Linked DNA regions of Sus scrofa. Each later gene encodes a partner of the first gene's protein in a complex. Links are inferred from orthologs where the notes say so. Each region holds a gene or a part of one and is shown in the gene's direction. Other genes may lie near its edges. The genes, in order: STRIP1, STRN, STK25, STRN4, STRN3, STK24 and STK26.

What was found.
Region 2: STRIP1 (region 1) and STRN share a complex: the UniProt entries of both Homo sapiens proteins name them as parts of the core of STRIPAK complex. The link is inferred for Sus scrofa from reciprocal best matches to the Homo sapiens genes STRIP1 and STRN.
Region 3: STRIP1 (region 1) and STK25 share a complex: the UniProt entries of both Homo sapiens proteins name them as parts of the core of STRIPAK complex. The link is inferred for Sus scrofa from reciprocal best matches to the Homo sapiens genes STRIP1 and STK25.
Region 4: STRIP1 (region 1) and STRN4 share a complex: the UniProt entries of both Homo sapiens proteins name them as parts of the core of STRIPAK complex. The link is inferred for Sus scrofa from reciprocal best matches to the Homo sapiens genes STRIP1 and STRN4.
Region 5: the proteins of STRIP1 (region 1) and STRN3 are in contact, whole or in part, in a cryo-EM structure (PDB 7K36), measured with the Homo sapiens proteins. The link is inferred for Sus scrofa from reciprocal best matches to the Homo sapiens genes STRIP1 and STRN3. Residues at the interface, in NP_149079.2 of Homo sapiens: Arg441, Ile445, Tyr447, Leu449, Thr455, Val456, Val457, Gly458, Leu459, Arg491, Ser492, Pro493, Leu494, Ser495, Phe792, Leu793, Pro794, Val795, Asn797, Cys798, Leu799, Val802; in NP_001077362.1 of Homo sapiens: Thr64, Pro66, Gly67, Leu69, His70, Tyr71, Gln73, His74, Val88, Glu89, Ala91, Glu92, Ala95, Arg96, Phe99, Leu100, Glu103, Gly106, Gln107, Leu110, Asp113, Leu114.
Region 6: STRIP1 (region 1) and STK24 share a complex: the UniProt entries of both Homo sapiens proteins name them as parts of the core of STRIPAK complex. The link is inferred for Sus scrofa from reciprocal best matches to the Homo sapiens genes STRIP1 and STK24.
Region 7: STRIP1 (region 1) and STK26 share a complex: the UniProt entries of both Homo sapiens proteins name them as parts of the core of STRIPAK complex. The link is inferred for Sus scrofa from reciprocal best matches to the Homo sapiens genes STRIP1 and STK26.

What each region holds. Positions count from the first base shown.
Region 1 is NC_010446.5:110,067,518-110,071,017, reverse strand, and holds part of STRIP1 (striatin-interacting protein 1), read left to right. Parts: intron 1-1,213; coding exon 1,214-1,285; intron 1,286-1,764; coding exon 1,765-1,839; intron 1,840-2,030; coding exon 2,031-2,128; intron 2,129-3,413; coding exon 3,414-3,500. UniProt on the Homo sapiens protein: Plays a role in the regulation of cell morphology and cytoskeletal organization. Required in the cortical actin filament dynamics and cell shape. Part of the striatin-interacting phosphatase and kinase (STRIPAK) complexes.
Region 2 is NC_010445.4:103,301,826-103,305,325, forward strand, and holds part of STRN (striatin), read left to right. Parts: intron 1-1,045; coding exon 1,046-1,124; intron 1,125-3,263; coding exon 3,264-3,431; intron 3,432-3,500. UniProt on the Homo sapiens protein: Calmodulin-binding scaffolding protein which is the center of the striatin-interacting phosphatase and kinase (STRIPAK) complexes.
Region 3 is NC_010457.5:140,151,511-140,155,592, reverse strand, and holds the start of STK25 (serine/threonine-protein kinase 25), read left to right. Parts: upstream 1-1,282; 5' UTR 1,283-1,369; exon of another isoform or gene 1,370-1,430; intron 1,431-1,896; 5' UTR 1,897-1,967; coding exon of another isoform or gene 1,968-2,018; 5' UTR 2,019-4,082. UniProt on the Homo sapiens protein: Oxidant stress-activated serine/threonine kinase that may play a role in the response to environmental stress.
Region 4 is NC_010448.4:52,610,911-52,614,410, reverse strand, and holds part of STRN4 (striatin-4), read left to right. Parts: intron 1-500; coding exon 501-642; intron 643-3,500. UniProt on the Homo sapiens protein: Calmodulin-binding scaffolding protein which is the center of the striatin-interacting phosphatase and kinase (STRIPAK) complexes.
Region 5 is NC_010449.5:68,550,897-68,554,396, forward strand, and holds part of STRN3 (striatin-3), read left to right. Parts: intron 1-1,150; coding exon 1,151-1,291; intron 1,292-3,500. UniProt on the Homo sapiens protein: Calmodulin-binding scaffolding protein which is the center of the striatin-interacting phosphatase and kinase (STRIPAK) complexes.
Region 6 is NC_010453.5:67,475,143-67,478,642, reverse strand, and holds part of STK24 (serine/threonine-protein kinase 24), read left to right. Parts: intron 1-1,101; coding exon 1,102-1,210; intron 1,211-1,474; coding exon 1,475-1,632; intron 1,633-3,500. UniProt on the Homo sapiens protein: Serine/threonine-protein kinase that acts on both serine and threonine residues and promotes apoptosis in response to stress stimuli and caspase activation.
Region 7 is NC_010461.5:108,178,023-108,182,029, forward strand, and holds the start of STK26 (serine/threonine-protein kinase 26), read left to right. Parts: upstream 1-1,207; 5' UTR 1,208-1,286; intron 1,287-1,388; 5' UTR 1,389-1,497; coding exon 1,498-1,539; intron 1,540-4,007. UniProt on the Homo sapiens protein: Serine/threonine-protein kinase that acts as a mediator of cell growth. Modulates apoptosis. In association with STK24 negatively regulates Golgi reorientation in polarized cell migration upon RHO activation.

The sequences.
Region 1 (3,500 bases):
TTACTGGTGTTTTATTAAAGATTATAGTACCTGACAGTTGGAATTTTAAGGGGTCTAGTAAATAGCCTCCCTTTCCTGGCCCAGGTTCCAAGGCAATTGGGTTCAAGGAGTAGGCGGATGGGGATTGAAACACCAGCTCTGTTGCCAATAGAGTGAGTGGAGAATGAGGCCTAAGAGCACAACCCCAGTGGGTGTCCGATACCTCCCTTCCAGAATTAGGCCAGTTCACCTGTCCAGGGCCCGCAGCGCTGGCACCCTGCTAAGCCTGGTCAAGGAGCAGAAGAGGGCACAGGCTTTTCTTTTCTTAAGAAAGAAGAGAAAGAGGTTGTGCTGAGACTGTCTTGTTCCTCCTCCCATACCCACTGGGCAGCGAGGGGAGGAGTGAGTGTGTGCATGTGTGGTGGGGGTGCAGACAGGGAGACCTGAGGGTTTTGTACGTGCGGGTCCCTCCAGGAATGCAGAAGCATCACAGGTGGGAAAGAGCTGTCTCCTCTGACAGCATGTCTGGGGTGCGAATGCTGATAGGCTTTTGCAGTGTACTTTTGACATTTGTAGTGTAAGTGCGCCGCAGGCAGCTAGGCTTTTTGAGGACTTGAGTACTTGATCCTTGAGTACATGGGTGCTTGATTCTGCTTGTAAGTTTTCCCCCTTAATTTCATGATAGCTATCTGAAAGCCCCCTTCTCTCCTTGAATTTGCGTTTTTCCCGAATCTATTGTGTGCTTTTTTGCACTGGTGTTAAGAGGTAGGTGCCCACTTGGAAAAATATATTTTTGTTTGTTGGCTTGTTTTTTGTCTTTTTGCCTTTTCTAGGGCCGCTTCCTGTGGCATATGGAGGTTCCCAGGCTAGGGGTCGAATTGGAGCTGTAGCCACTGGCCTATGCCAGAGACAAAGCAACTCGGGATCCGAGCCACATCTGCAACCTACACCACAGCTCACGGCAATGCCGGATCCTTAACCCATTGAGCAAGGCCGGGAATCAAACCCGCAACCTCATCATTTCTAGTCGGATTCGTTAACCACTGAGCCACAATGGGAACTCCTGGAAAAATATTTTGGATTGGGGATCCTAGTTTGTGATCTGTGTGGTGACTTAACAGTCTTTGAGAAGACGGTGTTTGAAGAAAGTTGCGTGGGGTCTTTGCCAGGGGTGGGTGTTTGGCCAGAGAATGGGGGGTGTTTCCCCAGTGCCTCCTCCCCTCTCTCCCTCCAGCACAAGTACACGTCGATTGCAGAGGTCCAGGCACAGATGGAGGAGGAGTACCTTCGCTCTCCTCTCTCAGGGGTGAGTTGGGGGCCCTCCTCAGCCCACAGGGTTCAGCCGTTCCCAGCACTGTGCTGGGCCAAGACCGCAGAGCACCAGGCCTGCCCTCAGAAAGCTCCCTGTCCAGCTCCCGCTGCAGGGGTGCCGTGTGTCAGGCACAGGGCTTAGCGCACGGACTCCAGGCCAGCCCCCTCCTTCTGAATCCCGGCTCCATGGGTGGCGACCTAGCGAGGTACTAGATCTCTCTCTGCTTTCTTGTCCTGCCTGTTAAAATGGAATGACAGTAGCACCTTTTTCATAGAATTGTCATGATGAAATGTCCTCTTACAAGTCAGGTGCCTGGCACGTTGTCTTAAAGGTTCACCATCATTAGCAGCAGCATCATTTACTCCCATCATCCACATGTACAGTCTCCTCCAGCCAGCTAGCACACTGGCCCGGGAGAGCATCCTCAGAACCAGGCTCTGGGTTTGTCCCCACTGTACCCCTTGTGTTGGAAGGGAGAAGAGGAGGTGGAGCAAGTTCCCGCGGAAACTCTCTACCAAGGCTTGCTCCCCAGCCTGCCGCAGTACATGGTGAGTGCTCCTCCTCCGTAGGCACCTGCCACGGGCCACCCTCCCCACTGCACTGGCCCTGAGAGCAGGCGGCCATGCCCTTGGCCCCTCCTTCAGCCACCCGAGTGCCTCGGGAAGGACCACCTCTCCGGGCCTAGTCCTGCCCCTGGGCCCTCCCACCCATGCTGTCTGAATGGTCTGCTTCTCCCCAGATTGCGCTGCTAAAGATCCTGCTGGCTGCAGCTCCCACCTCAAAGGCCAAGACAGACTCCATCAACATCCTAGCAGATGTCCTGCCTGAGGAGATGCCGTGAGTGTCAAGCCTTGAGTATCTGGGGGATGGAGCAGGTCAGGGGCAGAAGGGCAGAGGGGAAGGGGAAACGGCTTCCTTTCAGTCCCACTGTTTGCTAGGTTGTCTGTCGTTAGTGTTTGGGTTCAACTTCTCTGCAGGTTGGGTTTAGGATATTCCTGGCTCAGAAGAAAGAAAATGTTCTAGGTGAAATATTTAATTATACTGCTTGGGAAAATGGCTTAATCCAGTTGGCCTGGATTCTAGTGTAGACTCTGCCCCTGAGCGAACACTGAGTGAATTGGGCAAAGTCACTTCCTCCTCTGTAAAATGAATTGGGCTGTGTTTGACATTTCCCCAAATGTTTCTCAAAAGTATGTGATTGTGGGACATCCAGGATGTATAGTTTTAGCACATGGAAGTTCCCAGGCCAGGGATGGAACCCAAGCCATAGCAGGGACCCAGGCCACTGCAGTAACACTAGGTCTAACTTGCTGAACCACAAGGGAAGCCCTGGCATGCAGAATATTTTTGAATGTCTCAGGGTGATAGTGACATCCTTAGGAGTTCTTCCTCCCTGGGGCATTGCCCCCATCTTTTTCACACGAGAGTACAAACCGGGATCACGTTCTGCTTTGAGAAGGACCTGGGCCTTGACCTGATCCACCTGCCTGCCAGTACCGCCTAGCTCTGAGCCCAGCTCCCTGCTGGCTGGGCCCCTTGGGTCTGGTGGTGATAGCCAGATAATGGGGGGGGGGGGAGCAGGCATCGGCCAACCCCAGAGGGACTACATAGACCACCAGGCCATCAGGATGGGCCTTAGGAAAAGGATTCCAGAGCCAGATGCTATACCTCCTCTTAGAAAGATTTCCAGTGGCAACTCCTAAATTAAGAAGCTGATTTAGCTCAATGCTTCCACAACTTTTCTGATTCCAAAGCCCATTTTCCCATGATATGAAACATCTCAGTACACTGGCAATTCACAGAACACGCTCCAAGGAACACAAGTTCCTATGGTGGCAGAAGCTTAGGGAAGGTTTTGAAGTGAGAAGTTCATTTTTGGAGGAAAAGCAGAGAAATATACTACGAATGTATGGGAGCCGTCATAGAAGGAAGAAAATTGTGCTGAGCTAGATTGGGTAGTGGGTGGGAGGAACAGGGCCCGACCTCTCAGATGTCCGCAGTGGGGGAGCAGTGAGGTGGGTGCCTGGCCCAGAGAAGGCTTGGGAATCCTGTCTCTCCTGGGAGCACCCGGAGAGGAGAGGCAGTGCTGCGCTTGGGGGCTCACCCACAACTGTGCTTCCAGTACCACAGTGTTGCAGAGCATGAAGCTGGGGGTGGATGTGAACCGCCACAAAGAGGTCATTGTTAAGGCCATTTCTGCCGTCCTACT
Region 2 (3,500 bases), on another chromosome or scaffold:
CAGTCACAGCAATGTGGGATTTGAGCTGCGTCTGTGACCGACACCACAACTCACAGCAACACCGGATACTTAACCCACTGAGGGAGGCCAGAGATCAAACCCCCATCCTCATGGATACTATTCGGGTTTGTCACTGCTGTGCCACAACGGGAACTCCCAATTATGTGTTTTTAACACAGCATCTAGAATGCATTAAATATTTAATATAAAATATCATAAAACAGAATTTCCCAGTTTCTCATATTTCCACTGGAATAAAAACCCTATAAAGACCACAGTTTCCATCATGGGCTGATGGAAAGTGTGAACTTCTTTTATGTTTTTAAAGTCGAGGCATGCTCTAGTATGGAAATTCTTAAGTCCAGACTTACCGAAAGAAGACTCTCTTTTTATTTTACGTATTTTTGAAGGATTTGGCTTCTCCCGAGTGTTTTAAATTTAAGCTTTACAGGGCCTGGGAGGTTTTCATTTAAAGAATGTCTTAAAAAATAATGCTTGGTGTTTTCATTTAATAACTAGTGAAGGAAATTCATTTGGATTGGGGTTATTTCTTATCTACTCTTTTACCAGACTGGCTTTTTTTTTTTTTTAAAGCCATCATTCCTAGGTATTTTGTTCTAATTCTGATGTAGTGCTTCATAGTACATTTATTTGACTCTTGTGTGACTCAGTTAGTCCTGGAGGAAAATTCTCAGATTACTAAAAATAGGAAAAAAGTCTTTATTTTAGAGCAGTAATGAATTTATGTTAGAGTTTTGTTACAGAAATTAAACTTAAAAACATGTTTACATTGTCCTAAAATGTACCTTACAGTACAGTGTTTTTAATCTTATAATTTTTTTGTTGTTGGCTTGCCTGTGGCATGTGGGAATTCCTGGGTTTGGGATGGAACCTGAACCATAGCAGTGAAAATACCAAATCCTTAGCCACTACACCAACAGGGAACTCTTAATCTTATAGATTTTTATTGGACCTTTTTTTTTTAAATGAATTTAGATGTCCTCTAGTGTGTTTAACACCAGTTTTATTATTTAATGTTTTCCAGATGAAGGTAATGAAACAGAGGTGCAACCACAACAAAACAGTCAGTTAATGTGGAAGCAAGGTCGACAGCTACTCAGACAGTAAGTATGTCCTGAAAGTATCTGCTGTGAAAAAGCTTCATTAAATTATGTTCTTTTTTCATAAGCACTTTTTCCACTATAGTAGAATTTATTATTAAATTTTAATAAGAGTTAAGAAATTCACTTTCCATAATTTTAACTTTATCAAAAAGAACACAACTTAAAGGTTCTAAATTATATTTTTTGCTTAAATTTATATTTTAAAGAATTTTTTGTCCTTAAAGTTACTCTTTGTACCTTTTATACATAAATATACAGGTTTTAATATAAGTCTAAACATGTAATTTTTGTGTTATGTTTTTAAACTTTTAAGTAGATGGAAGAACTTCTGGATTTCCCAGATTTACAAATACTGTGCTAACGTATACTCCCTCCTATAAAACGTGAATTTGAGGGTATAAAGTAGGAGCAAGGCTAGGCTGAGGTACGGATATTGGGAAGTGGGCTAGACCCACTTATCTGCTTAATGCTTGACCCTTGCGTAGCACATTTGAAAATGTTATTTTGATTTGTACCTCAGTAAAATGAAATTTGCTGTCTGGTTTGGACTTTTGGGTTGTTTGTGGATAGTCTAAGCTTATGATTTCCAAAGTGGATGGTATGCCAGCCATACCTTTTGATAATGGGAAAAGAATATTAAAATAACTTCTTACATCTGTTTTTTTATCTAATCAAAGCTAGAAGAAAATGAGACTTCATTACTATTTAACTAGTAGGTTTTAATTTTGGTCTTAAATATGATTGTGCATTTTCCTTTTATAAATAAGTGTCTTTAAAGTGCTGATCTTTTTTTTTTTTTAATGTCAAGTAGTTATCATAGTGAGCAATCTAAGAAGTATTTTTAAAAGATTGGTAACCTGCTTCTCAAAGGTGACATTTTATTAATGAATGAGGAAGTATTATTTAGTAAGACCTTAGGAAAGAACAGTTTTTGAAACAGTAATCTGTAATGTGATTTTGTTACCAAAGTGAGTTGTGTATCAAATATTATTTGTTAAAAAATAGAAAAGCGTAATAACTTTGAAAGAACCAACTAATTAAATTCAGGAACATTAGAAAATTTATTACCCAAATTTTAATCAAAGCCTTTATAGATATTGAATAGGATTGAAAAATGAGTACCTTCATTTGGTAGGATACACTTACTCCATTTTGGTCACATGTCTTTGGGAGGTATCTCTTTGAGCTATAACAACTGTTAATACCAGATCTTAGAATAAACTGACCCTTAGACTGGTTATTTTTTTGATCTTTGTTTTCCTTTTCATCTCATAGATGTGATGCTTACTTATAAGTTAATGCCTGACATTTATCTATCATGTTTATTAATGACATTATTAGTGACATTTGTCTTTTTCATATTCTCGCCACTACCCCTTTTGGTCTTTTTTGGACATCTTTATTGTTAATTAATACCGAGTGCCTTCTATGTGCCAGGCACTGTACTAGGTTTGTCTCTTTTATGAGAAAGAATTAAAGTTACATAGGAGGAAAGTGGAAAAAAATGGGCTTTAAACCTTGGTCTGACTCTCTATATTCTCTGTCTTCTGTGCTGCTGCCTTTCTGCAGCACACACACCCCTGTGCACCCACTCAGCCCACATCCCACTATTGAATTGTGGTCTATTTTTATTTTAGAATTGTCTCAGGATAGAAGCTGCCCTTCTGTAGAAGTGACTCTTTGGAATATGTTTTGTATGTTATGGAGGAAACTATGTGTGTTAGAAATTCTCAGATCTCAGTTGATCCAGTGATACTTTAACATCGGAAGTATAAAAGGACTACTGGTTATAGTAATTACTATTATGAAATAGTAATTCAGAATCTGAGAGTGAGTTTACTCCAGCTCTGCCCAGAAGAAAGAATGTGTTATTAGGTATATTAAGGAATAGCTTCTTCTTATGATAAATGAATGGTGTATTGATTGTATAGTTCTTTGATTTTTCTCAGTGACCGTAGAGGCTGGTACTGCAAGAGACAGCTCTGTCTGCAGCTGGAAGATTATTTATTAGCAAGTCTTACTAGCATAGTACTGTTCTGTTTAGTCTTATGCAGGCAATGAATTTTTTAAATTAAGATATTCAGTAGTAGAATACTGATTCCAATAAGACTGAATTTTAAAGATCCTCTTCACACACAGGTACCTGCAGGAGGTGGGTTACACAGATACCATTCTAGATGTGAAATCCAAACGAGTGCGAGCTTTGTTGGGCTTTTCCAGTGATGTCACTGACAGGGAAGATGACAAAAATCAAGACTCAGTTATAAATGGCACGGAGGCTGAAGTTAAAGAGACAGCAATGATTGGGTAAGTATTTTGTCTAGAAAGTGGTTTAGCTGTAGTTTTGGTTCTTATAAATATTTTTGGCTTATGAGT
Region 3 (4,082 bases), on another chromosome or scaffold:
AACCCACACCACAGCTGTAACCAGAACCACAGCAGTGATGACACCGGCTCCTTAACGCCCGAGGAGGGAACTGTCCTTTCATTCTCTTAACAATGCCTTTCTGAAATCGAAATTTAAAACATTCGATGAAATCAAATTTATCATTGCTTTACAGCTGCATCCTTGTAAATGTTTTGGTAAAATGTAAATCACACAGAGCACACACGGAGACTATTTTAAGTGTACAGGTCACTGACGTCAAGCACGTTCACAGCGTTGTGGGGCCATCGCAGAGCTTGGTCTCCACTCCCGATGGAAACCCTGTACCCTGTGGTGTATCCCTTCTCTCTTCCTCCAGCCCCAGGAAATCTCAAGCACCTCTGCCTCCTGAACTGATCCAGTCTTGAGAGGTCATCGAAGCCGCATCACACGGTATTTGTCTCTTTGCGACTGGCTTATTTCCCTTGGCATAACGTTTTCATCCACGTTGTGGCATATAACAAAAAACAATGCCTTTTTAATTTTACGTATTTTGAATTGTGATAGCTTACACCTTAAAGCATTCAGTTGGGCAGTGCTGTACAATTATCTCCAGAATTCTTTTCACCTTCCCAAACTGAAGCTCTGTCCCCATTAAACACTCACTTCCCAGCGCCCGCCCCTGCCCCTGGCACCCGCCTGTCGCCTTTCTGTCTTCAGGACTCCAGGCACCTCACACAGGTGGGTCCAAGCACTGCTTGTCCTTTTGGGACTAGCTTATTTCGTTTAGCCACCGTCTTGGCGGTTGGTCCCTGCAATGGCCCGAGTCAGCACTGCCCTCCTACCCCCGGGCACGTCTGGACCGCATCTGGGGACCCATTCGTTCCTCCCCGACACGCGGGCGGCTGCAAGAGGCCTGAAAGATAGAATTGGAGTCTTGAGCCCAGGCCCTCGGAAGGGGAGCCGGAGGACGGAAGGCGGGGCGGGGGGGGGGGGCGACCGCAGAGCTGAAAGGTGGGGGCGCCCCAACCCCACGGCCGCCGGGCGGGCCCCGCCTGGCCCCGCCCCAGCCCCACAGGCCCCGCCCAGCACCGCGGCCTGGCGGGAGACGTAGGCCCAAGCTTCTCAGGAAGCCGGACTCGGAGTCCCAGCGGGCACCGCGGCACGCTTGCGGGCCGCTACACCACTCCGCCCCATGGCCTGCCGGGACTTGTAGTCCAGGGTCTGCGTGCGCCCCGACCCAGGGCGAACGAGGGACTCGGTGTCCCAGAGAGCTCCGCGCCGGGCCACGACACCGTGCCGCCCGGGCCGTCGCTGACGCCGCCGCCGGGCTTTCTCCGGCCGCCGCCGCCACTGCCGCTGCTTCGCGGGCTGGAGGGCCCAGGCGTCCCTGGGCGAGCGGAGGCTGCGGGTGGGAGCCTTCGTGGGCACTGCGGAGCGGGCCGGGGGAGGCCGGGATGGAGCCCCCGGAGGTGGGCGCGCTGCCGGGCTGGCCCGCGCCTGGGGCGGTTGGGGAGGGGGCTGGGCGGTGCGGGGAGTGAGGCAGGGGGAGGGCCCCGAGGGGGCCGGCGAGGAGGGCACTGGAGGCGGAGCTCGGCGGTAGGGGGACCCGGGGGGGGGCGCCGGGGGGGGGCGAGGGCACCGGGGGCGGGGTTGGGGCGGGGGTCCCGGCGGGGGTCCTGGCCGGGGTAAGGGGTCTAAAGAAGGAGCAAGGCTGCGGGTGGAAGTGTGAGGGCCGCCGAGGGATGCCCCGTGTTGGGGAGCTCCTCAGGGAGGCGTCGGGCCGTAGCGGGGCGATGAGGAGAGCGCGGCGGTGGGGGCCTTTAGCGGAGGGGCCCTGTGACTCCAGCCCGCCCCCGGGGCGGGCCGGCCCGCCGGTCCCCAGGGCGGCAGGGAGCCCCGCGTGCCTCGAACCGAGCAGGCCTGCTCTCCCTCCAGTTGCCTGAAGCGAGTGGGCCGGGCTCCGGAGCCTCCAGGCAGGATCTCGGGGCCTCCCGAGGTTGCAGCGGATGGTGGAGGGCGGCGCAGACATGGCTCACCTCAGGGGCTTTGCCAACCAGGTAAGGGTTGGCATCCGGGGAGAGGGGTGTGTGTGTTTACCGGAGCACCGACTGCAGAGGCTAAGCAAGGGCGCTTCCTCCAGGACTGTCATCCTGAGGTTTCAGAGGAGCGGTCCCTCCGAGGGCGAGCGTGGGGTGAAGGGAGGCGCGGGGGAGTCCTGCGGAGCGCGTCGTGGGCGAAGCGGGGAGCAGTCTCGAGGCGCTCAGACTTGGTGAGCGCAGGGGCGACTCAGCTTGGCCAGCTTGCCCAGTTGTGTGGGGCAGAAGCCCACAAGCTTGGCAAAATAGAGCCCCAGTGCAGGGGCAGCAGAGGCTGTGCAGAGCCCTGTGGTGGGAACAGGGCAGGGGCCGCTGGCTCTGGTGGGAATCCTGCCGAGCATGAATCTGCACCTGGAGAGACCTGCAAGGTCAGGGTCCACGCTGGGGCCGCAGCCTGGGCGGGGACACAGGCCGTGTTGTGCTGGGCAGGGGCTGTGCTGACGCAGCTCTCGAGTCTGTGCGCGGGGAGAGCAGAGCACAGGAGAGGATGAGAGGGCTGCTCCCGGGCCACAGGTGCTCCTTGGGAAGACACCCACTGCCTTTCTCTTTGGGGGACTGGGTCTTGGGATTGCCAACAGCAAAAGCCATCTGGGGGTGTCTGGCCTTGAGCGGTAACTGGCTGATTCCGGGGGACCCTCCAAAGCGCACCCTGGGTTGTGTGGCACATGGTTTGTACTTTCCTCTTGTCTGTTATTGGGAAGCAGGTGTGATCTGCAGCTGGTAGGACGTGGAGTGTGCCGCTCTGGCTCTGGTAGCCAGGTTTTCCTGTGGCCACTGCTTGGCTTTGTTTTCCTCGGCCGCCTGCTGAAAGGTGTAAGGCAGCGTCCTCGGGTGTAAGGCTGAGTCCCCAGGCTGAGTCCGCGAGGCCTGGGCGCCAGGGGAGCAGGAAGTGTGTATCCACGGGGCGGGGGAGGGGCTGGGGTCAGGATCGGCTCCACACCCAACAGGCTTCCTCGCAGAAACCTGCCACGTGCTGCCGCCGGGCAGGGCATCCTGGACTAGCCGTGCCACAGGTGGGCACTGGCACTTCTGCTGATGCTGAAGCCCGCTGGCAGGTCTTTCATTCATCTTTGACATCTCGTGTCTTGTAAATTACATGACGGAGAAGCTGGGAGAAAAACCTGGCTTCAGCTATTTTTAAGAGCTGTAGAAATGGGTCCCGCGGGTCCTGGAATAGGAAGTTGGAGCTGAGCCACCCTGTCCCTGTGTGCTGGTGGCACTAGGGGCTTGGCTTGGGTGTCCAGACCAGATGCCCAGGGAAGGGAGCACAGCCCAGAGGAGCTGAGGAAGGGACCCTGAAGGAAGGAAGCCCCTTTTGTCCTCTGGGGCGGAGAGACTTGGCCTTTGTCAGTGGCAGGAAGCCTGACAGGACATTGTTTTCTCTTGCGAGGGTTGTCACTGTGGCCCTGCGAGGCGGTCCCTGTGTGGGGCAGTGCGGTGAGCTCCCCCACGGCCCGCAGGGGGCCCTCCACTCCTGGCCTCTGCCCGGCTGGTTCCTTGTTCCTACCCTGCCCGCAGGGTCTGGCTGGCTGCAGGAAGCTCATTGGCTGCCACCCATCGTGGGGTGGTTGGGGGCCGTTGGGCACCCCTCATTTTGTGGGGCGATATGACCAGCAGACATACTGCCTGGTAGTGGCCACTGACCTCGCATGCCCAGGGCTGACCAGAGGACAAGGGTCTGGACTGCCAGCAGCCTGAGCCCTTGTCTGAACCACGCCCGTCTCTGGAAGGGGAGTGCAAGGCCAGCTCGGGAGCAGTTGTCCTTCCTTCCTTCCACCAGCTCTGGCCGCAGGTGTCCCTGTGATGTGCCTGTAGGGTCAGGGTCACAGCCAGGAGCGCTCCCGTCATGCTGTCTGCTCAGGAGACTGACCCACAGCAGTGGGGACCCAAAAAGTGTGACGTTGGGACCAGAGCTCCCCCCACTGCTGAGTCTGGAGCCCCTGGTCCAGGGGTCTGCCCAGTTCCCTCAGGAGCCGTGGAGGTCTGGGCACCCAGCTGGGTGTGCCTCTCGTCAAGCCGTTGGGG
Region 4 (3,500 bases), on another chromosome or scaffold:
AGGACAATGTTTGCACATATCTCAACTTTGAACTCTGCCCTCCTGTCTGCCCTGGAGTCAGGTTCGGCAAATACCTCCTTTGCTAAAACTTGTCATCCCGTTGGAGCCTTTGAACAGTGTCCCAGAGGTGGAGAGGGGAGCGGGCTGGAAGGGCTGGGGGTTCGTGGAGTGACCACTTCCCCTTTCTTCCTGCTGGCTGTGTCCCTGCCCCTCGCCTGCCCTGGGCTCACGGTTTGACTGGGCTGTGGGAATCGGGGCCACTTTCCCATCCAGCTCTCCTCACTCAGCACGTGTGGGGCCCTGTGGGCGGGCTGGGGGCTAGTTCCCTAGAACTCGGGGCTCGGAGCTCAATGAGGAGCTGGGCCCGGTCTGTGGTCCCAGCGAGGGTTCAGAGGCTGGGCTTGAGGCCCAGGGCACGACCCGAGTCCCGGCGCTCTCCCACCTGAACAGCTTTGTCACTGGGCAGGACTAACACTTCCTCTGCCCCCCATCCTGGGCAGGAACGCAGCCGGCAAAGATGGCAAAGAGCGCCTGGGTGGCTCAGTGCTGGAGCAGATCCCCTTCCTGCAGAACTGCGAGGATGAGGACAGTGACGAGGACGACGAGCTGGACAGCGTGCAGCACAAGAAGCAGCGGGTGAAGGTGAGCTCGTGAGCCCAGTGGGCCCTCCCTCCCCCTTTCTGCAAGAGGACCCCTGCTTCGAGCCCCAGAGCAGAGCACCTCTGTGGGCGCCCTCAGGCTGCCTCTGTGGTTTCATCATATCCCTGCCTGGAGCAGAGTCCCCTGTGCTGTGGCCTCCGTGACCTTTGGGGCCGCCTGGGTCTTTTCTCTTGGAGCTGGCCCCTTCTTCCGCTGCACCCCCTTCTCGCCCTCCAGGCTGGGCCAGCCCCCGCCACGCCCTCTCACAGTGCTCCCCACTTTGGGCCAGCCCTACCGCAGCCGTGCTTAGACATTTTGGGTGTGACTCTGGCTCTGTCTCCCGCAGTGGGTGCTGAGCTCCACGAGGCAGGGACTGTGCGACCCTCTGCTCTTCTCCCCAGCTCCCTGAGGGAACGTGGCCGGGCCCAGGGCTCAGCCTGGAGGCGGGCGGGGGGGGGGGGTCCTGTCCAGGACTTCGTCGTCCAGTCTGCTGTCGCTGTCAAGACCCAGGTCTGGGGATACTGCCCACAGGGTAGAGTTGGGTGCTCCTCAGCATGGCCTTGAGATATGGCTGCCTCCACCCTTCAGCCCCACTCCTGGGCTCGGAAAGCCACCCAGCTCCCACCATTCTGATGGCGCCGTTCTTGGGCAGGGTCTGGCCTCGTCTGTCCAGTGACCAGCAGCTTCATGGCCGAGCTCTGTGCCGGCGGCACGAATATGGAGACTTGGTCTGGTCCTGAGGTGGAGGGGCTTGTGGCCAGTGGCCCACACAGGCAGGCGCCCCCGTCTCATGCCAGCTCTGTCTCCCTCCTCCCTCATCGGTCTGTCCTTCCCAGCCTTTGCTCTGTGTCCAGTGTCCCCAGTGTGGCTCAGCACAGGGTCCCATGCAGATTAGGCGCTCAGTGAACACACTGAGGGGACAGGACTGTGTGGAGCCAGACTCTGGAACTGGGGGTTATAGGAAAAGCGGGGGTCTCTCAACTCCCTGGTCCAGCACCCTGCCCCCCCCCAACCCCCTGTTGGGATTTCACCCGCTTGTCGGGTCTCACCGCAACCTCCGCTGCGCAGTCTTTCCTCCTCTCGGCTCCTCCCGTTGAAAATGACTGCGTTCTCCCTCAGGCCTTTGCCTCAGTCACGGCGTCTTGTCCCACGGGCCCTGTCGGGGGTCTCCTGCTTCCCCAGGGCCTCATGACCTGCCTGTGGCTCCCAGAGTGCCCGCCGGCCTGGCTATGTACCTTTGGGCACACGATTCTCTTTGTCTCAGTTTCCGTCTCAGGGGCTCATAGTCCCTGGGCTGTCAAGGAATTAACTAAAATGAGTGCATGCATAGAAAGCCCTTGGCTGCACGGAAGCTGCCACACCAGGGCTCAGCAGTGGGGTGCCACCGACAGCTCCTGTGGTGTGGGCAGGCCCTTCAGAGCGCCCGGTGTGGTTCCACCCGCATGTAGAGCTCCAACCCCCACCGTTGCTTCCCTGGGCGTGCTGTCTGGACCTTGACCCCAGGTCTTCTCCCAGAAAGGCAGAGGAAGGCAGTCCTGTGCGGGGCTGGCCCTTCAGGATGCCCGAGCGGGCTGCCTCCATGTTCATACCCTCTAGACCCAGCTCGGGGTGAGGGTCAGCCCACCCTAGAGGAACCCACCATCTGATGGAGGCTGGGCCCAGGCAGGGAACACCAGGAGGGAGAAGGCTTCCTGGAGGAGCCGGCCCGGAGGCCTCAGAATCCTGGTGCCGAGGTGCTCTATGTCTTAAGCCAGCACTTAGAGCAGAACTCAGATATCAAAACTGTCTTTGAAAATTCTGGAACTCCCTTAAGGCATGTAAGTGCACAAGTGCAGTCTTCGAAGTGCCAAGTGTGCAGCTCCGGATGGCGCTTTGTGCAGTGGAGTGATGCTGAAGCCACCCGAGGGTGGAGAATCACACGCAGAGCATCATTTCACGAGGCCGTGTACCCGAGGTGTCTGTGTGGGGAGCGCAGGAGCCGTGCTGCTCCTAAATTCATAAGTCTGGGTGGGGGGCCAGGCTCGTGAAGTGAGGAAAACAGGATGATTTAGCTCTTACCCCTGGTTAAGACCGACTGTGTGAAACGGGCAAACCCACCAGCATTCTGGTTCTCAGAATGGAGGAACGAGGAGTTCCCGTCGTGGCGCAGTGGTTAACAAATCTGACTAGAAACCATGAGGTTGCGGGTTCGGTCCCTGGCCTTGCTCATTGGGTTAAGGATCTGGCGTTGCCGTGAGCTGTGGTGTAGGTCACAGATGCGGCACGGATCCCGAGTTGCTGTGGCTGTGGTGTAGGCCGGCGGCTATAGCTCTGATTCGACCCTAGCCTGGGAATGTCCATATGGCACGGGTGCGGCCCTGAAAAGACAAAAAAAAAAAGAGGAACGAAGGTGTTTTCTCTAGTTCTAAAAGTAGCTCCTGCGTGTTTTATATATATATATATGTGTATAAAATTTAGCCCATTTAGAAAGTTATAAGGAAGATGCGAAGAACCTCAGGTAATCACACACCCAAGAGCCGTCTTAAAAGAAATGGCTTGGACCTTGCGACCTGGGGCAAGGGCTGCACTCTGTTCAGCCTCCGTTTCCTCATCTGTAATATGGGACCAGTGATTACCATAATGGGAGTTCCCGATGTGGCTCAGGGTAACAAATCTGACTAGTACCCATGAGGATGCCGGTTCAGTCCCTGGCCTCACTCGGTAGATTAAGGATCCTGTGTTGCTCTGGCTGTGGTGTAGGCCGGCAGCTGTATCTCTGATTCTCCTCCTAGCCTGGGAACCTCCATATGCCATGGGTGTGGCCTCAAAAAGACGAAAGAAATTATAATAATGATAACTATTCATGGGGTTGTGAAATCACG
Region 5 (3,500 bases), on another chromosome or scaffold:
ATTATAATTGTTTTAGAAAATTCAGACTACTTGACATGTTGCATCCAGAAGTGGAGTGCTTAAGCCTTTCCAAGAAGTTAGGGATTACTATGAAATAGAGTTAGTAAATGTGTAAGGTCCCACCTATTTCCGTATAGTCCAACAATCTTGCTACTTGGTATTCTGTTAGGGATGCACAGATGAGTGATAGTCTCTATAGAATTTCTAATATTCTAATAGCCATAGTGAAGTTTAGTCATTACATAGTCTAGTCCATTAATATAGACATTAGTAAATATGGTCATAATGTGTGGCCTTGGATTTGCCTGTTTTAATTGTTTTTACTTTACATAGACTTCAAAGCATTTTCTTTTGTCTTTTCACCTTAAAACTGTTTTCTTTCGAAACACACAAGAGAAATGATTCTCCTGTCACTTCTGAAGTTCATAGTTGAAACAAGATCCTGTCACTTCTGAAATTCATAGTTAAAACAAGAGATCCCACAGTACTGTGGATGCTACAGAGTTGGCCATATTTTGGCCTAAATTAATCTAGGTAACAGCAGAAATTCTCCCAGTAATTATGGCCTGTGACAGTGTTGACTTTTCATACTATAGTGAGAAAATGAGCAAGCTCATAGGTAAATCAGTTTTTAAATTTGTAAAAAATGAAAAAAGCATGTTGAGGGGAATTGAGTGATTTGTTCATGACAGAGTTGTATGAATGTGGCAGGAAAACATCCACATAAACACCAGGGAAAGTTAATTGTTTGTTGCACCCTCATAAAAATCATTTGTGCTTGTTTGTTAACTTTTTAAAAATAATTAAGTTGGGAAAACTCATTTTAGTCTTTACACTGTTAAATGTTAAACACCAAAGTTTTTTGTTTGAATGGTACCATCTGTATCTTTGAGCTTACAGAACTTTGAGTGACAGATGACTCTATTATATATATCTCCACAAAAATAGTCAATATCTTAAATATTTAAATCTTTTCAATATTTTTTTGGGGGGTGGTGTGGAAAATTGAAGACATCTTTGATTTTCTGAGATTTTTACAACTGAAACTTCTTAAAAATGGCCTCTTTTGTTAGTAGATTGGTTTTAAAGGCTGCTAGCAAGTCAAGCGGTAGCCGTTAAATGAATCTCTACTGCTGACATTAATTTACAGGGGTCAACAGGACAAAACTCTACGACATGATAGCTGATCTGGGAGATGATGAGCTGCCCCACATCCCTTCAGGAATCATAAATCAGTCTAGGTCAGCCTCTACTAGAATGACTGATCATGAAGGTGCAAGAGCAGAGGAAGGTACAGAATTTAGCTACTGTGTTTATTTACATTGTAGAAGACATTAATTCCAAATCACATCTCCTTAAATATTGTATTTGCTGCTGTTTTAAAATGCTGAAAATCAGCTTTTATGATCTTCAGAGAAGGTGTTGGGCAAGCTCTTGGTGTAATTGTCTTAGGGATTTTGAAATTTTTGGCTTATATGTCTTTATAATTTTCTTGTTTTGATATTAGGTGGACTTATTTCTATTACAGGTCATTTCAGAGTACCTTTCTGAACTGGGACTTTAGTTTACATATGTAGTAGCAGGAAAATAGTTTAAGAAGACTTGGGTACATATGGAAAAGAACTATTTAGTCATTTTGTCATATTGCTAAATTTTAACAACTAATAATAACTGTCACTTATAAGGAGACAGCTAAGTACCAGACATTGTGCTTAGAACTTTATATATTATTTCTGAAAATACATGTAACAATTGCCTAATCTAATATTTTAGAATAAGGCAACATATAATTCTTAAACTTGGTACTAGTATATACTACTCGTTAGTGAATTTTCTAAAATTTGCTTAAACTAGAAATGTGCAGAAAATGAAAGTACTACTTAGGCATTTTTTCCAAAATTGATTTTAGCTGAAGATATGTAGATATACTTGAATAGTATATAATTCTAGGTCTAGATAATTAAAATTCTAAGTAATGAGACTGAATTGTTACCAAAAGTTTATTTTGATATATGATACAAATGTAAAAGATAATTCATTAATAATTTGGCATATAATTTGCATTTCATTGATATTACTGCTTTTGCTTTGGGTAATTTGATGTCCTGTCAGAACTCTTTGAATACACCTTATATGCTCTTCTAAGAGTTCTCTACCTGCATATTTTTCCTTAAAGTTAAATAATTTTGCTTTTTTTTTTCTTTGTAGTAATCTCTGCATGCCCTTGCCACTTACTATAATCCTCTAGGTTTGAGGAAGGATAAAGAAAATCGCTAAAATAATAAAACCAAAACAAAACATATTAAAGCATGAAAAGCAACAGGAAAAGTAAAATAGTCTGTTGGTTTTTCCTAGACCTCTTTTCCACTGTTAAGCTATTTTCCTATTTTACTTAAGGAAGTATTTTCTAAAATGAATATACCAACCTGATTATTTTTCATTTCATGCATTTAGTAATGGCTAAGCTTTTTAAAGCTTTTGCTCTACTTTACCAAATAATACATAGAAAAAAGTTGCTAAAATTTTTTATAGTTAACACTGTACATTTAAACTGCAGATTTTGCAGCCCAATTCAAAGCCATATTATCAGGGATTACAGATAAGTTTAAATGCTTCAAAGCAGGGACTTCTGGAAACAGCCAGACAAGACTTGTGGTACATTTAGAACCTGTATGTATGTTTATGTGTAATTGTGCTTTTTAAACAAAAAAAATTAAGTCAGTGATCTATTAATAGTGGAGGAGGAAGGAAAGCATATGCACTATCACACTTTTCAAAGGCTAAATCTTAAATAATTTGTTACTAAAAAAAGATTAATTTCAACTTTGATTAGTGCTAAGAAGAGAACATTAGCATTCATAATCTCTTATTTTTAGTGGTCACCTCCAACTTTTATGCATTCCTGTTGAAGGCCTTGTCATAGTGCATTTTATAAAGAAAAAAACTTATGTTCTCAAGGAGAGAAACTTAGGCATTACAACCTTTCAGACTGTTTTTAGTAAAGATTTAAGATATACAGTGTTGCCACTAACATGAGTAGAATCCGTTTTTAAGCTGTGTTCTTTCTTTAGATTTGATAAAATTGAAGGAGAAAGGAAGAATTTGATATATGAGCTACAGGTTTCCTTGGTCACTAGTGTCCATAAAACGGAGGATTAGTTAAAGAAAAATATGAAAAGGATGTTGTAAATTTCAGTCTGGACTCTGGAAATCTAAGATTTCCATAAAGGGGAATCTGATATGATAATAGTAATCTTAAATTGCTCGATGAAATCTTTTATGCTGTCTAATAAAAGGTATGTAATTTTCATCATTAAAAGCTGCTTCTTGAAATAATTTTTTTTAATTTATTTATTAGGGCTGCACCCACAGCATATGGAGGTACCCAAGCTAGGGGTCCAATCAAAGGTGTAGCTGCCGGCCTATGCCACAGCCATAGTAACGCAGGATCCCAGCAGCCTCATCTTCCACCTACACCACAGCTTGCAGCAATACCACAT
Region 6 (3,500 bases), on another chromosome or scaffold:
AAAATAGAATGTGTACATGTATGTGTAACTGGGTCACCTTGCTGTACAGTAGGAAATTGACAAAACACTGCAAACCAACTATAATGGAAAAAAAAAAATCAGTATATTAAAAAAAAAATCTGGTTCTCGAAAACTAACACCTGTGTTCTAGGATGAGAGAGCCAGAAGCTAACGCGTCTCAGAAGCTCTTCCTCCTGAATCGAAACTCTTCCCTGGACCATTCGGGGCACTTTCAAAAAAAAAACAAAACAAAACAAACAAACAAAAAAACCCATGAAATTCTCATTTTAAGAAACTGTGGTAAAATACACACAAAACTTACCCTGCATGACCTTTAGTGTATTCACGGTGTGCATTCATCGCTCCCATCTAGGTCTAGAACTTTCCATCACCCAAAAGGAATCCAACTAGGAACCATGACGTTGTGGGTTCGATCCCTGGCCTTGCTCAGTGGGTTAAGGGATCCGGCATTGCCGTGAGCTGTGGTGTTAGGTCGCAGACCTGGCTTGGATCCCAAGTTGCTGTGGCTCTGGCGTAGGCTGGTGGCAATAGCTCTGATTAGACCCCTAGCCTGGGAACCTCCATATGCTGTGGGTGCAGCCTTAAAAAGCACCAAAAAAAAAAGAAAGAAAATTCAGATTTAAAAATTTCTGGTGCCGGGTAGCCTCAGAAAACAGCTCTTGGACTTTCTCCATTTAACCACCCGTTAGTTACCACGCTAGGGCGGAGCCCGGCTGCCCTGTGCCCTCCCCAGCAGATGCTGCAAGGGGCCCTGCTTCTGCTCTCCGGGCTAGCGGCCCCCCCCCCCACCCCGCCCCAGCTCTGCTCACAGACACATCGGGCTGACCACGGCCTGTCTCACCAGCCCGGCTTGGACGCTCAGTCGGCTTTGCTTCTTTCATCAAAGTCATTTTCTCTGGTTCTCTGGGGATTTTTTTTAGGGTCTTTTAAATAGATTTTAATTGTTTGGGCAAAATGTTTTGGAGTGCAAGAGCTTTCAGATTTTGATTATTGTTGTCCATTTAACATTGACTTTGTTCTATTCTCTCAGACTTTTCTTCTAATCATTTAAGTAACCTGAATCCTTTTTTTTCTTGTCAGTTAGAACCTGGCCCTTTAGATGAAACTCAGATTGCTACCATATTAAGAGAAATACTGAAAGGACTTGATTATTTGCATTCAGAGAAGAAAATCCACAGAGACATTAAAGGTAAAAGAACACAGCTTGTTTGTGTCCCTTTGAAATGCCGAAGGCGAAGGTGGGTGGGAATGGTCGTCTTACCTGCGCTGCTCTCTCAAGGGTTGTCGTCCTGAGGGCGGTCTGCGATTGCGAGGGGAGGGGGCGCCCCGCGGGGGTCTAACTGAAAGCAGTTCTTGTCCAGCAGTGGTGTCGCTGTGCACACGCTCCCCCCGTGCTGGAGATGGAACTTCCGGCACATGATGTCAGGGGGCGTCTTTGGCTTTATTTTTGCAGCTGCCAATGTCCTGCTGTCTGAACACGGGGAGGTGAAGCTGGCCGACTTTGGCGTGGCAGGCCAGCTGACCGACACCCAGATAAAGAGAAACACCTTCGTGGGCACCCCTTTCTGGATGGCGCCCGAAGTCATCAAGCAGTCAGCCTACGACTCAAAGGTGAGGACGAGAGTTCCCTTGTGGCTCAGTGGGTTAAGAACCTGACATAGTGTCTGTAAGAATGCAGGTTTGCTTCCTGGCCTCAACTCGGTGGGTTAAGCATCCGGCATTGCTGCAAGCTGTGGTGTAGATCGCAGATGCGGCTCGGATCCCGTGTTGCTATGGCTGTGGCACAGGCCGGCAGTTGCAGCTCTGATTCGACCCCTAACCCGGGAACTCCCATGGGCCACGGGTGTGTGTGTGGCTGTTAAAAAAAAGAAGAAGAAATGTGCGGTCAGGAGCCTCAGCTGGCTGGGTCTGGGAGTGGTCCTCTGGACTTGAACTTCAGGGCTTGTCCTGGTGGGGGAAGCCAGGGCCTTGTCGTAGGTCACGAGGGCAGTTCGTGGGCTACGGTTAGAAACAGGGTTCTTCTGTCTGCTGCCGTCTCCGGCACCCCTTTATGCAACCAGCCCCCCGTTCCAGTGTCTGAAGGAGGGACACGGAGGAGCAGCGGGTGGAGGCCGGGGGACGGGGTGGCCCGGCCGGTGGGGGTGTCCAGCAGAGGCATGTGGGGGCGCGGGGAGGCCAGGAGGAGGGGATGGGGCAGAGGGCCTCAGCAGGACCCTGGCCAGGCACAGGCAGGGTCCCTCGGGAGAGGCGGCGTCCACAGAACACCAGGCAGACCCTTCCTGTCGGCCAGTGTAGCGCCCAGTTGGGATCGTCATTCTCAGAGGCTCTGTGCCGACTTGAGGCCAAATCGTGATTCTTTTCCCAGCCTCTTCCTCCTGTCGTGTTGTACGCTCCCATTTCTCCTGTGTTCTTGCCTCCGTTGCCTGTCAGCGTTCTTAAGCTTTTTGGTATAAACTTGAAAAGCCCGCGAACCCGCCTCCCGCAGGCCGCTCTCGGCGCGGGACGGCGGGAGGATCCCCACGGCCCCAGAGAACAGGCTTCTCCAAACCAGGGCTTGTAAGCAAACCTCTGACTCGGTGTGCTGACAGCCGAGCATCATTTCTGCTCTCGAAGAGGAAATCTCCTTACCTGGCAGGTTCCCACCTTGTTAAATGTAGCATGCGGAGCACAGGTAGGTTTTCCTGGGCACCCGAGGTCGGCGTGTGAGCTGATGGCGCTGGTGGCCTGGCCCCCTCATGTTGAGGTGTGGGGACAGCAGCGTGTCTGGCCTGGGCCTGCCTTGCCCCGTGGGGTGGCTCTCCCCGTAGCTACTTCCAATTGTGGCAGCCACGGGCCCCTCCTTCCCTGGGGTTGTGTCATTTTAGGGTGTGACAGGGGCTCATGTGTTTGGTCCACTCTGTTTTAAGCTGAGGCCCATGTGTCTGAGTTCCGGCATCTGGATTTTGGCTGGGCTGTGACGGGACCCCAGGAGTCGTCCCTCATCTGATGGCAGCCGCACTGAGGCCGCTCCTCCATTCTGGTCACTTAGCTGATCCGCCACCGCCGCTGCAGCGCAGCACTCAGATGCTGGGTTTTCAGCGACACTCATCCCTTGCTCAGGAACGGTCCCCGAGGCCTCCCCAGCCCCGCTGGGGCCTCTCCGGGTGTCCGCCCAAGGCGGCCTCTGAGCAGCAGAGCCTCCTCTGCACCTTCCCCAGCTGTGGTCAGGACCACATGCGCTCCCGTGTGGCGGGTAACGGTGCCTCCTCTGCACCTTCCCCCGCTGTGGTCCGGACCACAGCGCTCCCGTGTGGCGGGTAACGGTGCGGCCTTCCTTTTAGGTCGATGGCAAGACGCGTCTCAAACGGGGCAGGGTGCAGCTCGGGTGGGCAGCTTGAGGAAACGCATCATGTTGCTTGTTCACCCTCAAGTCCATTACCTTGAACTCTGGCTCACGGCAAAAGCTAGTGATTCACTGGCTTGGGTCAGACACAGCAGCT
Region 7 (4,007 bases), on another chromosome or scaffold:
TAAAGATTCAGTGAAGTAACACCTATATAGCACTTAGCGGTCCCTGGCACAAAGAAAATGGCACCCACTCACAATAACTATAGTGATAACGATAATACGCTATCTTTGGAGAAAGATTCAAAAGGAACAAGAGAAATACGTATTGCCTCCCAGAGCCCCAACACTGTGTTGGGCACAAAATTTCATCCTCATTTTAAACTGACACTTAGATATTACATATGACAACCCCTTGTGGGTTCCCAAAGGTGCCTTCATAATGAGGTTACTTAATTGCTATTATTATTATTGTTGTTGTTGCTCGGGTATTCGCAAAAGAGCTTGTCTCCCTGCTGGACTGGCACGTCAAGTGGGATGGAGGCAGGGGGCTGCCAAAAGCACTGAGTTCAATAATACTACGTACTGCTAAGGACCCAAACTCGTTTCACATGCCTCTATTACCCTCATTCATTTCTCTGCCCATGTACCACCTGTTTTCCAATTTCCCTCTCTCTTACACGTGCAGAACTGACCTTGTGCCCAGGCCTGGTCGCCCTCTCCCACAGCCTCGCACCCCTGTCCAACCGAGAGCCCAAAAGGTAGGGGAAGCCTCACTTCTAAGTCACCTGAAGCTTGTCTGGGGGCGGGGAACCCGGAAAGCCGGAGGGTGGCTACCGACCCGCCCAGAGGCGCGGCCCCAAACTGGGGAGCCCAGACCTCGGGTTAAGAGCTGGGGTCCAGCGACTCGGCGGCTCTCTGCACCCCCCGGCCTCGAGCAGATCGGAGAGTCCGGAAGGACTTCCAACACTCGCCAAGTTTCAACTCAGGACTTCTCCGAGGCGGCGTGCGCCCCAGCCCTCGCACGCCCGCCTGCAACGTGGCCGCGTCCGGGACGCCCTCGTACCCCAAGGGTCACCCGAACTCTTCCTTTCTCTCTCCAGGCCGACCAATGTTCCAGGCCCCTCCGTGCCCGGCTTCTCCTCTCCGCCGGCCGGGAGAGTCTCCCTCGGCTCAGGCTCCAGCAACCCCAGCCGAGCCCCTTCCCAGCGCGGAGCCCTAGCTCTCCTGACACCGCCCGGCAGCGGGGCGGGGGCAGGGCCAGCGGCGGAACCGCCCCCAACCGCCTCCCGGGCCCGGCCAGCGAGCGGGTGGCTGGGGCGCCTCCACCTCCTCTTCCTAAAGCGGCGAGGCGCAGACGAGCGGCATCACTCGAGCCCAGGTCCCGGCCACCGCCACACACGGCGCCCGGCGTTCAGGAAGAGGAGCGGCAGCGGAGGCGGCGGCCACAGCGGCGGGCGGGCACCAGAAAGGTAGACTGAGTCCCGGGGAGCCGCGCCGCGGACCGCCCACCTCCCAGCCCCGGGCCGCGCGCGCTACCCGCCCCGTAACCCCACTTGTGTGTGTCCTTCCAGGCCCGGGTCGAAAAGCCTGGGAGGGCCGCCGACCTACCCCCGGAGGAGGAGCCAGTCGGAGCCCAAGGCGCCACCGCCGCCGAAGCCGCGCGGAGCAGCTTTCGCCTTCATGGCCCACTCACCGGTGGCGGTCCAAGTGCCGGGGATGCAGGTGAGGACGCCCGGGCCTCCCCCGCCGTCCACGTGACTGCCCGGGAGCCCAGGGTGCACTCCACGCTGGGCACCGGCGAGGACAGGCGGCCCAGGGCTGCCTCGAAGCCGGGCCGGTCGCTCCGGCCAGGTGACGGGGAAAGAGGGTCTAAGTGTTTCCCGGCGCGCAAGCTAGGTGGTGCACTGCGCGGGGCAGGCGCGCGCGGAGGGACCGGGGCGCGCGGCGAGGTGGGGATGCGGCGGGGGGCTATAAAAATAGGCCGGAGCCGGACACCTGCGCTGGCTGAGCGTGATGCGCTTGGGGGTCGGAGGTGGGAGGACTTCACGTGGGAGAGATGGAGGCGTCTCGGAATTTGGGCATAAAACGCAGGTCGTGCTGCCCCCCCCCCCCGGACATACACACACACACAAACACACGAGTTGGGGCGGAGCAAGACCAGGGGTGTCGGTGGTGGCGGCTTTGAATTAGGCTCTTCCTGTGTGCGTAGGGCGAAGAGAGGTGACTTCTTTTCCCCTTTTGGTGCTGCTGCTTAAGTTGTATCTCGCTCCCCCCACCTGGCCCAGCCCCTCGTGTGGCGTGAGAAATGCAGGGTCCTCTGTTAGCAGAGCGGAGGTGATGACTCCCCCGCTCCCTCCCTCTGCGGTTCCCACAGCACGACTGTTACAGTGTGGTTAAAGGAAACTTTTTGTCCTAGACAGGGCAGGGGACCCAACTTTTCACTCGAGAGCTACCCAGCCTCCCCTTATATTTTCACTTTATTAAAGAAGTCAGCGATGTCCGTACGCTTTTCACGCTATTTTATCTTTTTAAATCGGTGCATTTCAAGCTCTCTGCTAAATGTAATCCAAGCTTACTTTTACGCATTCGAATTTTCTTTTTTTTCATAAACAACCCGTTTATGAATCGGTCGGAGACTAGCATCGACAGCCTCATTATCTTCTAAAAATGTGAGGACAACCTTTTTCCAAGTTCAGAAAAGAATGTTTGGTAAATAGCTTATGGTTCTAGTAGAAATCAAAGTGCTGTGGATTGGGGCCTCAAATTACCAATTGATGCAAGGAATGTATCTTTTTAAAAAAAAAAAAAACAATTGGTCGCATTTTATGCATGGTCCAAAAAGTGCTTTTTAAAATACTTTCTCTCCCCCCCCCAAAGGACCATTTGTGTCGGACATAGATCTAGCCTGGGACTCCTGTGTGTCTAGGCACCAGGCCTTTTAGCTGAATATAGGGCACGTCTGGGTTGAGTCCCAGGAAGTCGGTGTGTATTTAATAAAAACAAAAAATAAATAAGAGAGAGAGAGAGGAAGAAGAAGGGAAATGAGAACTATTGGGGCCTTTGAAAAGGTTAATCCATTCAAGTTTTACCAAACGCCTCAAACTTCCTTCTTCTCAGGCCACCCCCCCTTCCCTCCCTCTCCCCCCCCACCCCCAGCCCCTCACCCCATTCATTCAGTCTGCCTTTGATTGTACCCAGAGAATTAGTAGTTTGCAGGACTAACTACAGTTTTGCTCTGTCTCATGTGGGAGAAAGTTCGAACGTTTTCCCACCATGCTCTCCTTTCCATTCTGTGAACTTTACGGATGTCAGGTTTGTCCCTGAGGGTCCCCGTGCCTGCTCAGGCCATTGTGTGCACGCGCTGCCTGCGTCAGCAGAGCGAGGGCCTCCCTTTGATCAAGTTTGTGATCCTGGGGAACTCTGGTGTGCGGGGGAGAAAACGGTTTCTGGTCTTTATTTCATTTGTCTTGACTTTATTTGATTTCTATGGTTTCTGGTCCTTATTTGATTTGTCCTCATTTGATTTATATGGTTTAGGAACTGCTTGCTGCTCAGTATTTCTTTCGGCTCCCTGCTTTGTTTCATTATCTTGAGGTCCCTATCAGCTGAATTTTGCACCCTTAATTAAGGTGGTTTAGAATGTGAATCACATATTTTTAAATTACGAATTCTGCCTGTCACTTGATGCCTTGCCCCACGTTGTGACTCCTGTGTCCACCCTGATTTGGGGAGGGCAGGCATCTGGATATTAGCAGGAAAAGAGAGGAATATTTATTTGTCACTTTCCCTGTCTTAATGAAATGGTAAATTCGTAACATCTGATTTCCATTTTCTTTGTAGATGTGGTTCTTAAGCATTGGGTGCAACCCAAAAAGTTTTCCACAGTTAAAATTGTGGAGTACCCTAAAAATAAATTTGATGGCATGCAGTGTGACTCTTGAGCCTTGATCACGTTGACTATTCTTTTGTTGAAAAAGATTGCAGATGAGATGCAGAAATATATGATGAGCTTGTAAAATTCTCCTGGAGTTTTGTTAGCAAGTTAGGAGCAACTTTCAGACCGTTCCAGTAGTAAGAAAACTGAACGTAGCCATGTGTGCTTGAAATTAATGTATAGTATTTCCACAGATCAGGGCGAAGTGGTCGACCGGCCTATAACTTTTTAACAGTTTATTTTAGAGACTTATGAA